Linked DNA regions of Rattus norvegicus. The protein of the gene in region 3 purifies or fractionates together with the protein of the main gene of each other region. This does not show direct contact. Links are inferred from orthologs where the notes say so. Each region holds a gene or a part of one and is shown on either strand. Other genes may lie near its edges.

Region 1 (4,400 bases), on a different chromosome or scaffold from region 3:
AGGTGACGCAAGTCAACCTTCCTAGGTTCCTGGGACAAAAAGCTTCAGTCATTCCTGCCCTTATACATTCTAACAGAAAATGCTAACAGCTATTCCTTCAAATTATACTCAAAATCCCGCTGCTATGCTGGTCTGATTCCAGTGATCTCACATCTGAGTCACAGCCACCTCGTAAGCAATCCCAGATGACAGCCTTGCATTCTGCCTGTGTGTGGACATCAGCCAGGGTGACAAGGTCGGCTCACCTGCGCTCAGTGTCACTAGGTGTTCAAAACGTAACACGCTGCAGGATGTGTCCCACTGCAGCCTTCCCAGTGTGCCTCTGTGACCTCTAAGTAGAACTGGAGATTTTACAATACACTGGTAGCTGTGCTCCTTTTCTTTGCACGGTAAACTATTTGTCATACGTGGTATACCTTTCAACAGATGGTGACTTAAGTGTGTTCTGCTATGATCTGAATATAATGCTTACTCAGTAAGAGGCCAAAAGAAGTAAATATAAACAAAAATAAACTGTAAGCTTCCCAATTTAATACCTGGAAAGTTAAAATCTTTATGTTAATAGTTTTTGAAAAATAAATCTGAGAAACAACTTAGAAATTTTTTTTGTAATTTTTTTAGGTTATTAACCCTTTATAGTTGTGCAAATCTCAGATATGTACAGACTTAAAGGCAGAGTTGGTCAAATTACATTCTCTAAAATACAAGGCAAATGATGGAAACCTACCGTTACCTAGGTTAATTGTTTTTGGTTTTGTTTGCTGTATCAGAGAGACAGGGCTTCTCTGTGTAGCCCTGGCTATCCTGGATCTTGCTCTATAGACCAGGCTGGCCTCGACTCAGAGAGATCTGCCTGCCTCTGCCTTCGAACTGCTGAGCTTAAAGGCTTATGCCACTGCTGCCTGGCTAACATAGCTACTTGTAAGAGGATAATACACTCACACTTTAACTTGATCGTAAATGCCACAAATTACCAGATATTTAAACTCTTCAAACTAATTCCTCACAACATGTGGCATGAATAAAAAAGAAAAAAACAATTTAATGAAAGCATGAGGATTCAAATGGCCATCATGATACAATGATATGAGGTATTGTGATATCATGGAGGACAACGGGAATGCACAGAAGTTGAGGAAAGAAAATGATGGAAGAAAATAGATACAGAGGATGTTCTTAAGGGAAGGAAGCGGTGCACAGACGTGCTTACCCGTCCCTGGACAATCGTTATCAGGTAGGAGACATGAATACCTGTCCTTTCCGGCGGAGCATACCAGTGAGTGTTTTTGGGAATGGTGATACAGCGTCTCCACAATCCCAAGTTGCCGTTGTACCGGAACAGAGCATCGTTGTAGGTCTTCTCATCCGCCTCATCGCCCATGAAATCTTCCCAGGCAATTCTATTCGCATCACTAGAATTCTCTTGAGCAGGACTTTGATACTCATACCAGAAGTCTGTGCCTATGGAGGCGGCCATGTAGATGGTGGAGATAAGACTAAGCACACAGGCAATCACAAAGGCTGTAGCGAAACGGTTATCCATTCTGGCATTCAGACTGCTCTGTTCAAGAGGGAGAGGGAAGAGTTAGACCTCCCGAGCAAATTAGAATGTATTAAAAACAAAAATAATAATAAAAATGAGCCCCCTTTACCCTACTCCCCATCCCTTCTCTTCTCAATGCAAGGCATTTATCGATGTGAAAATTTACAAACAAAAGGGCAAATGTTAAGTTTAAAACAAAACTCATTCTCAGGGAAAGTACTTATTGAATGCTCACATACCCACGATGCTACGGAGACAGAAGTCTTGTTCTCTAGTCTATCACCTGCATACTAAAACAGACAACACTGAAATGGACATACACGTTACAGATACAAACAACACACACGCCCGGGGTCGGCAGTGCAGCGTGCGCACCTGAACTGTAGATTGAATTTTTACGAAAGCCAGAAAAAGGTTATGTGTTTCCGGCTTGGACGAGGAAAAGACAGAAGAAAGGGAGACTAGGGATCCCCCAAGCTTTTTAGTGGAAAGGTTTACCTAAATAAATAAATAAGGCCAAAAGTAAGGAGTTATTTGGAAGTCAGAGTTGAAGGTGTTAACCCAAAGGGGAAAGTTTATGTGTCTGTCACAGCAAAGAGAGCAAAAGCACCATGTTAGGTTATCAATCTCCCTCGATCAAAGCTAAGCCAAGCTTCTTGACATAACCAGATTCTTCACTCCTTACTCTCCCCCCACCCTCCATCCATTACACACTTCTCGACCTCCCAAACCGCAATACTGCTCCCTAAATCCTAAAAGTATAGCACAGGTCCATAAAAACGAAATAATCCCTACTCTCAAACAGAAGTGAGTTAGGCAAAATCTGAACACTCCCTAGGCGTGGACAGGGCTCCACGGCAGTAGTAAATGGCCGCGGTTAAAATGACTCAAGGTGGATCACGCTGAGTCAAACCCTACCAAGTGTGTGTACACTGTGACAGCACAAACCCCTCGCAATGCACCTGAAAACAGGCTTACAAACTGGGTGCAGAGTTCGGAAAATGGGGAGTGACTCCGGAAACACCGGGGCGATTGCAGTCATCAACAATAACTCAGGTAAGTGCGGTGTGCATTTTGATTCTTAAAAATCTCGTCCATCCTGGTGCTCTCGGATGACCTTAAAGGCCGGGTTCTGGAAGCTGCGCCTAGCGCAGTCACCCTGGGCCGCACAGCAGGGCCTGGCACCGGCAGGCTGAGGCCGGCAGGGCTGGGCGGGTGCCCTGGGTACCCGAGCCCAGCCAGCCCCAGCCCCTTGGCCCGCAGCCCCGCCCCTCCCCGCCCCGCCAGCCGCTCCAGCCTCCCGGCCCGGCCACGCCACGGAGGAGCCCCCTCCCCACGCCGCGACCCGTGCTGGCTCGCGACCCCGCGCACTCACCGCCCATCCTCTCACTCCACCGGCTTCGCCCTCCAGCTCCGACCACAGCAACCTACTCTCCCCGCGCCTCCTCTGACGCACTTCCCTGCAGAGCCCGCCCCCTCCATAACTCCCGCGCCTCCGCCTCCGCCTCCACCCTAGGCCGGGCCAAAGCGGCCCTGAGCCGAGGGGCCTTGTGGGACTTGTAGGAACGCCGGTGAAAAAGCTGCTAGAGCCAGAGGAGAGCATGCCCGACGACGCGCGGGGAATTGTGGGGAATGTAGTTCTCTCCGAAGAAAGAACTCTGGAGATCAGTGAGCAAAGCAGAGGTCTAAGCTGAGGGATTGTTAAACCTCAGAAAAGGAGGGACCAAGCTCCAGAAAGTGATGGGGGAGGATCTTTGGCATCTATAGTCAAAGGCTTTGATTTATGTAGCCCAGATCTAACTTAGAGTCTTGTGTTTTCCCTACGATAATACTCTACCTCTAAATATTAGTTCTACTGAGTCGATGAACTTTATTTAAGAGTAGAGTTGACTCTACTCTTCAAATATCAACCCCCACTCCCACTTCCCTATATCTTCCCTCCCATTTGAGCAAAGTGTACTTCTGTTTTGTTTAAATGTAACTAAAGATCTAACCCAGCATATAACTAAATTAGCGTTATAACCTAATAGGATATAATTACGTTATTCTTGTTTGAAGAAATCTGTTATTTGCTCTCTCTACTGTAATAAAGTTTCCAGTTTAAATGTTTCCGTTGGTTTATTTAAAACTTGTAAATCCAAAGGGTACTAGATGTCAAAAATGTGACTTTAAAGTGTGAGTGTAATATGAAATGGAATTTAGAGAACATTATTTCCAACAGAAAAAGTTGTGGGCAGCCTTGGAAACAGACGGCTGTGCGACGTGGAAGTAATTGAATGATTCTAAACCCTCAGATACTTCACAGGAATTTCTAAACAAGTGGCAAAGATGTTTTTAGCTATAAATCATTTGCCTTTTGGTTCATGATTCTAGCTCACCATCACAGACTCTGTCTGGAAATGGACTTCTGACAGAGCCCACTATCCACATGGCATGACTAGATTTTTCTTTATAACATCAAATGAAAAAAGCAATTGGCCTCAGGTGTCATCTTGAAAGCTTGATGGTCGTGCACAGGAGAACAGTGACTCCACAGTAAGACTTGTGAATACATTTTTGCAGCAAATGTCTTCATCCACGGACCTGCATGACACGTCTGATTCCTGAAGTAACATGGGCAACCAATGCTCGAAAAGGGGAACAATTTAAGAAAAAAAAAAGAAACAGCCTAAGTTTCTAGACACTTAGGCCCATGGAGATGAGCTAACTTGGCAAATGTGAACACCAGTTTTATGACATTGGACAATTACTTGTTTTCAATATATGGATTTTTTAAAATAGCATCTATAAATAAGAAGATGTAAAAACTGTCAGGCAGGGACCTGAGGATTGTTAAGGAATCATTGAGGCATTATTT
Region 2 (3,081 bases), on a different chromosome or scaffold from region 3:
TGAAGACTCTGCTGGGCCTGGTGCTTAGACACAAGCCTACAGTCTCTGCTACTCAGAAGGCTGAAGCAGGAGGATAAATGCTGAGCAGATATACACATGCAAGCCAAACATCCATATACATAACATACAATAAAAATTAAAAAACAATGATAAGGTCAGTGGTGGTAGATAGAACACATCTTTAATCCCAGCACTCAGAAGGCAGAAGCAAGCAAAGTCCTCTGAGTTCAATAACAACCTGGTCTACATAGTCCTTGTTTCTTTGTTTCATTTTGTTTTTCCAGAGAGAGTTTCTCTGTGTGGCCCTCTCTGTCCTGAAACCTTGTAGACCAGGCTGGCCTTGAACTAAGAAGTCCATCTGTCTCTGCCCCCTGGTGACCCACCCACTAAAGGCTTGCGTTTGTTTGCTTGTTTAAAGAGCAAACATCTATACTAGTTTCATAATCTGTGGTGGGCAAATGCATCAAACATACTAAGAGAAACTCTGATTCAGGCAGACTCTCAAAAGATAAAAAAGCAACAAGCCATAAAAGCCTACAGACCCAAGTTCAATTCCCAGAATCCACAGTGGAAGGAAAGAACCGATTCCTGGAGTTGTCCTTTGATCTACCCACTCAGCACCACCCACATATACAACATAAGATTGTAAAAAGTAATTCTCTGTGAAGTCCCAATCACTATCTCTTGCTAACTGGCATCCCCCTTTTCTAGCTATTCAAAGAAAACTGCTCAAGTATCATCCACTGGGTGTTCTCAGCCATAAGTCAACTATTACCTCCCAGCCCTTGCTCATTTCCTTACCCTCATTAGTAGCCAGGCTGAGGTGTGTTCGAAGCCCTGTGTATCGGCTCAGGTCTGGCTTAGGAGGAGGTGGAGGTTCCGCATCCGCAGACTGGCTCTCTGTTATCTCTAGGCTTCCCTTAGACTAATAAATGGAGGGAAATCAGAGAGGGAAACTACATTAAGGTAATATTAAGTCGGCATAGTGTAAATACTGGGACAAGAGTCAGTTTGGGGATAATAAAGGACAAAAAAAAGCTGAGCGTCTGTCATCTGAAAGATGTTACATCTTATGAAGACATGGAAAGTGGCTCAGTGTCTACTGTCATGGAACTTGAAATGTAATGAAGAAAATATCTGTGTTTAAGTGACTTTAACACCAAGATGTACACTCAGTGCAGGTTCCTATCTCTTTGCCAGAGCGTGAAATTCCCTGGGTTTCCCTAGCTTTACTTTCCTAATTTCTCACCTTAGTCCTCCTCAGTTCTCCCTGGATGCCATTATCCATGATCTTCACAGTTATCTGCCCATCTGACACTTCTGGTCGAAGGAAAGGGGGTCTGATTACAATTGTCTTCTCTTTCTTTGGTCTCCCCAAATACCTGGGTAGCAAAAGTGAGAAGGCTTTCACTTACTACTTCATTCAAAATTTCTACTTGCACACCATCTAGGAAGCACGGTGCATACACAATAAGTCATGAGCTGAGGTATATGGCTCAGTGATAAAGAACAAGACCCCAGTTTAATCTTCAGCCAAAAACCAGTCCTATCAGAGTCTATCAGAGTAAAAGTTAGTCCTAGCCTGATTTAATTCAATGAAAACCTTCAGCTTGAGTAGGCCTTTACAGGCAGGTATCTAGCACTCTGCAGGTAAATTGTATACATCCTCAGTTCTCAAATGCAATTAGCCATACCTAAACACTATCAACTGAACTCAAGAATTCACTAAAAGATCAGCATGCCTCTTCCTTGTAGCGCTCACCATTCTGAAAGCAAACCCACCCTAAAAGGCCATTTTCCATTAAAATTCCCTTATTCAGAACAAGCCCAAAGGAGACAAAAGTTTGACCAAGAATGAACACTAGTCCAAGGGTGTATGTAGGTGTACCTGGGTGCTGGAGAACTGCAGAGGACACGGCTAACATTGTTACAACAGCCATTGGTAAAGGGATTCACACCTCCCCGGAATTTTCCTGTAACCTAGGAGGCAGAAAGAACCAGGTAGGTCAGACTATGCCAAAAGGCAAATTATTGTGTAGCCATTCTTTCAGGTAAAAAATTGATGCTGGTGATGATTAAGAACAGATTCTAGAATGAGGGTTCTAAGTCTACCTCATGGAAGCCAATCCTCATATCAGTTTTCTGTATAAAATGGGGTTAACTAAGTACCTCCCCCCCCCGGGGGGGGGGCTGGGGACCGAACCCAGGACCTTGAACCCAGGACCTTGCGCTTCCTAGGTAAGCGCTCTACCACTGAGCCAAATCCCCAACCCCAACTAAGTACTTTTCTGAATATTGACTTAAAATAATCCAAAAATCCACAGATGAGTTCCCTTATATAATGGGTACAGTAACTGCAAATAGCCTATGTACACTAACTCATCTCTCCATCATCGATACCTAATACAGTATGTTATATAAAGAATTATTGTATTATTTACATAACAATGCTAAGAAAAAGGATGTATATATTCAGTGATTTTCCCTCCAAGTCTATACCATCTCTATTTGATTGAACCTAAAGAATCCACAGATAGGCTGACTGCAAGATAAGACTAAGCAATTATGGTTAGCTACTATTATGTGCACAAAAATAATCTTTAAGCAGTACTATGTATTTCCTAAAATCTGTCCCAACTCGTTTCTATAAATTCACAGACTAAATATTTGTTAAGAGAATTAGAACAAGACCATTTTTTAAGGTTACTGTCTTCCTTTCTTGAAGACAGGGTCCAGGTAGATCGATCCTATTGCCTCAGCCTCCTAAGTAAGATTCTAGGTCTGCACTACCATTCCAAGCTTTAATTCTACTTATTGAGGACCTAGGCCTCCTTCACTTTCCCCACTACTGTTAATCTCTACACCATCACACTAAGTATTCGCTAGCATTCTGTTTGGGAAAGTATTAATGTTATTAAGTAAGGACCTAAGACATGTCATGTTTAGTCTCCTGCCAGTTCTCCTGGTACCTGTTCATTGGTTGTGCGTCCCCTGGCCACCAGCACCACATGAAATCCTGTGAGGCCAGCTACAGGGATGAAAAACAAGCCAGCCACACACATCACTGCCATTCTGATTCCA
Region 3 (4,172 bases):
GTTGTTGAAATGCACACTGCTGAAGCCCACAGTGATCGCAAGTGCAACGCCAAGTCAAAGGTTACTTCTGCTGACCAGATAAGTAGAATGTGTGTCTACTGCCGTCCATTTGTAGTTTCTCTTCTCAGAAGACCACCAAGGGTGACTACAACACTTACATGTTGGCTAAAAGGACAACACAGGTTCACCTGAAGAACTACTGAGGCAGCTGGGCTCTCAGGCATCGAAGCATCACACTGTAACAGGCAGGGGAGTGACTGCTCAGCTGACAGAATTCGGGGCTCTCAAACAGCTCGCAAGGATTTTTAAGTATAATGTAACATGAGACACTTGTGCATTAGTTCCTTTCTCTAGCACACTGGCGAGTGTGATATTCCCTCAGAATGAAAGCCAGGCCTACCAGCAGGCCAGCACAATCACCAGTCTTTCTAGGTTAGCAGAGAAATAAAGAGGCCTTTCAACTTCATCACACAAAATCAAGGAAACTTAAATGTATAATCAACACACACACACATAAAGCTTTTCCAAGTGGTTTACAGCAAGTGTTTAACTCGACACTAAAATAGTCAAAGGCACATGCCACACAGTGGTCAGTACCACAAGCAATTCTGCGGTTTATCAAGTCAATGAAGTACCACTTTTGGATGGCAGAATTTAGCAACATCAATTTCCTGTAAAGGTCTGTGTGACTACATCTGGTTTTCTTAAGCTAAGATTATTAAGGAAAGGTTCTACCACACAGGATGAAAGGCTAATGCCTGATGTCGCATATATGTGTACTGGCTCAACAAAGAACTCTGACTTATAAACCATTAGAGGCCTTTAAATGACGAGTCACAAACAAGGCAACCAAAACCTGCTATCCTCTCCCTCCTCACTCTCCCTGAGGCAAGAGGGCATCGGATCCCATTACAGACGGTTGTGAGCTACCATGTGGTTGCTGGGACTTGAACTCAGGACCTCTGGGAGAGCAGCCAGTGCTCCTAACCCCTGAGTCATCTCTGCAGCCCCAGAGACAACGGTCTTGCTATGCAGTTCACACTGGCTTACAACTCAGAATCCTCCTCCCTCTGGCCCTCGGGTTCCAGATTACAAGTGTCCACAACCACACACTATTTACACAGTATCTTTTCAAAGCTTCTTGGATCTTTAATTGGCAGTTCGAGAAAGGCAACTGTGCCATTAACTTGCCTATGGCATAAATCAAACTTAAGGGCAAGGTAATGAATCAGTGATTTTTCAGCCCTAACAGTCAGTGCTGGGAATGGAAGCGGTGGACAAGTGGTCTACCACTGAAATAAGGTTCAGGATTCCCACCCTTCCCAAGCCACTTTAGAGCATGGCATTTTCAAGTTGCCTAGGTTGGCCTTGAACATTCAATCTTCCTGCCTTCGACTCCCTAGTAGCTGGGAGTAGTCCTGACTAAATATTTAATGCTGGGGATAGATCCCTGGGCCTTCAACCTGGAAAGAACAGGCTCTTTGCGTTAAGCTACACACCCAGCCTACGAACCACCAATCTGATTTTAAATGGCTGGTACACATTTCTCTGGTACACACTCATCTCCACCCACCTACTCCACAACCAGCATTTCTTAGCCCCACACCCACACCACGCTTAATTACCTCAAAGTTCCTCATCCTCCTGGCTCAGTTTCTAGAAACTGACTTATGAACAGCAAACAGAATCTGACTAATACGGCCAAAGAACAAAAGAATCACACGGGCTAGGCACAAGAACGCACAAGAACACACAAGAACACACAAGAACACACGCACACAGGTAGATTTCTGGTGTTGTTAAATCCGAAGGAATGGTAAACAAATCCCGTCTTTGTTTACAAGGTTGTCCAAAGGACCTGTGCCCGTGACCGTTTTGATATGCAAGGCAAACAGGAAGCTCTCACTGATTATGACTGAGTGCAGGGTTGGTTCAGCTACAACCTGTCCCAGCCAATGTACGTTTTTCAGGTTCCAAGAAGGCCTGTCTGGACTACCAAGCACGTCACTAATAAACCCTTTCAGCTGAACATCATGATCAGCACAGTGACCACAAATATCAGTCATGAGAACGATGACGCTGTCTTTTGAGGATATAGACTACCACAGGAGGTTATGAGGCAGCCCGGAGTTCCAGGAATTAGCACCTCATCAAGATGTCAATAACTGAGTATGTGTGTGCACCTCAATAAGGTGTCAATAACCGTGTCTGTATGTTTGAGTGTGTGTACGTTTATGTGTCGGTGTCCTGTTAAGGACACTCTTGGGTGGACTGAGGGGTAGCGTGCATCCCAAAGTTCTATAAGACCACTGCACTCTGAGCATTACTAGCCTTAGCAGTCTTTCTCTAAATACTAGACCGTAACTTCTTCGTAGACCTTCTGCTATGGATCTGAAGGCCTCCTGATCTCCAGAACTGTGGGACACTCCCTCCCGCTCCAGGGACTCTACACTCCCCAGGGGCGGGGGCAGGGATCCAGGCTGCGTACCCTGTTCTCCAGCTCCGCGGGGAACTTGGTCTGGAACTGGCAGCGGGTGCCACTGCTGTAGTCTCGCTGAATGAAGACCTTCCCGGACACCGGCGCCTGCTGCGGCCTCATGGCGAGGACAGGACCCGCCGCTCTGCGAGTTCGGGCAAGACACAGGTCAGATTGCCGGCCTAGAGCCGGCTCTCGGGCCCGCCTGCCCTTCGGAGCCACCCACCGCCCAAAGATGCCCAAGACCTCCCCCTCGCCGATCCCCTTCACTCATGGCTGTAGCTGAGAGCCTCCAGCTACCCAAGCCCAGGACCCGCGCCCCCCGACATCCTGGTTCGGCCCTGTTAACACAAACCCGCCTCCTCAGCCCTCCAGCAGCTGTCGCACCACGTTCGTCGTCACTTACGTCCTGTCGCAAAAAGCCTTGCCTCTCCTAAACTCATTCTGCGCCACTCATTTATACCCCGCCCCCTCCGGCCGTAAAGGATACCTCCGAGGCTGCGCGCTGCGGAGAGGTGCGCGGTAGCTGGGACAGAAGTCTTCCTAGTGTAGGCGGGTGAAGCCCTTCCGGGCGGAAGAAGAATAAGAGGTGGATATGGATATGATCGGTGTATCGGGAGTTCCTGGAAAGACTCCGGGGTTAGAGACTCGTATTCTGTTAGCTGTGGGGAAGTGGTTTCTGATCATAGGAGTGTTTCCTTTCTTGACTATGCGTTCAAGTTTTCCTGTGGGCTACAGCACCTCCCTCCACAAAAACAATCGCCACTCTCCAAATCCCTTAAACCCAGACTGTTCACCTATATTTACAACTACAAAGCGCGCTACCGGGGGTGCGTCTGGACCCTGGTACCCTCTTGTGCGGGAGGGAGGTGAATAATATTCTTGTTCTGAGCCGTTGGCTTTTTTCATCCCAGAGACGTATGTACATCAGCTATACCTGCGTAGGTGACCAGACTGTATCTACAGTTCTCTCATTGGTTCCCTACTTTACTGACCCTGTCTTTGCAAGACATCCAGAAAATCCCTATCCACGCCTGGTGGTGATGTTCTAATACAACTTTTTAATATCACGGATACTTGATCAATTATCACTGACAATTGATTTCTCGGGGTTTTAAAAATAGCATTTAAAAATCCCAGCATCGGGGTTGGGTAGAGGCTGGCCCACTCCCTGGTGATCTCTGAGTTCAAGGCCACCCCAGTTTACTTAAATAGTTCCAGGCCAGCCGGGTTGACATAGTGAGACCCTGTCTCAAAAGTGGATAACTTTGTCCCAGAAAAGGGTGTATCGTAAACCCAGTCACTTAATGTGGACACAGTTTGCTAACAGTTTGCCCTTAAACCATCAGTGCAATCAAGATAATTATCACTGCCTCTAAAACCTTCCTTATTCTTTACAGTCATCCTTTTTAGTCATTCAGCAGACCTCTTTGCCCAGCACTAACCTTTCTGTCACTGGAAATAAATTTGCATTTTCCTTAAATTGAATCAGAGTTTTTGGTCTCGTTCTTATTATATAGATTATTTTGAGATTCCTCTGTTGTGCCATTTGTAATTTCATTTGTTTGACATTCCCCATTTATTCATTCACTTACTGTCTCAGGGTTTCCATTGTTGTGAAGAGACACCTTGAGCAAGGCAGCTCTTATTAAGGACAATATTTAATTGGGGGTGTCTTAGAGGTTTTGAGGTTCAG

Evidence for each region.
Region 1: the proteins of Golga7 (region 3) and Cldnd1 purify together in Homo sapiens (affinity purification with mass spectrometry; 3 studies listed by BioGRID and IntAct, counting the BioPlex papers as one, with this or other methods). This does not show direct contact. The link is inferred for Rattus norvegicus from reciprocal best matches to the Homo sapiens genes GOLGA7 and CLDND1.
Region 2: the proteins of Golga7 (region 3) and Zdhhc5 purify together in Homo sapiens (co-immunoprecipitation; 3 studies listed by BioGRID and IntAct, with this or other methods). This does not show direct contact. The link is inferred for Rattus norvegicus from reciprocal best matches to the Homo sapiens genes GOLGA7 and ZDHHC5.

What each region holds. Positions count from the first base shown.
Region 1 is NC_086029.1:55,355,563-55,359,962, forward strand, and holds the start of Cldnd1 (claudin domain-containing protein 1), read right to left. Parts: upstream 2,919-4,400; intron 2,375-2,918; exon of another isoform or gene 2,339-2,374; intron 1,834-2,338; coding exon of another isoform or gene 1,783-1,833; intron 1,562-1,782; coding exon of another isoform or gene 1,544-1,561; coding exon 1,252-1,543; intron 1-1,251. UniProt on the Homo sapiens protein: Plays a role in negatively regulating the permeability of cells to small molecules.
Region 2 is NC_086021.1:90,181,931-90,185,011, forward strand, and holds part of Zdhhc5 (palmitoyltransferase ZDHHC5), read right to left. Parts: intron 3,073-3,081; coding exon 2,970-3,072; intron 1,981-2,969; coding exon 1,889-1,980; intron 1,383-1,888; coding exon 1,250-1,382; intron 926-1,249; coding exon 802-925; intron 1-801. UniProt on the Homo sapiens protein: Palmitoyltransferase that catalyzes the addition of palmitate onto various protein substrates such as CTNND2, CD36, GSDMD, NLRP3, NOD1, NOD2, STAT3 and S1PR1 thus plays a role in various biological processes including cell adhesion, inflammation, fatty acid uptake, bacterial sensing or cardiac functions.
Region 3 is NC_086034.1:75,468,553-75,472,724, reverse strand, and holds the start of Golga7 (golgin subfamily A member 7), read right to left. Parts: upstream 2,817-4,172; 5' UTR 2,600-2,816; coding exon 2,489-2,599; intron 1-2,488. UniProt on the Homo sapiens protein: May be involved in protein transport from Golgi to cell surface. The ZDHHC9-GOLGA7 complex is a palmitoyltransferase specific for HRAS and NRAS.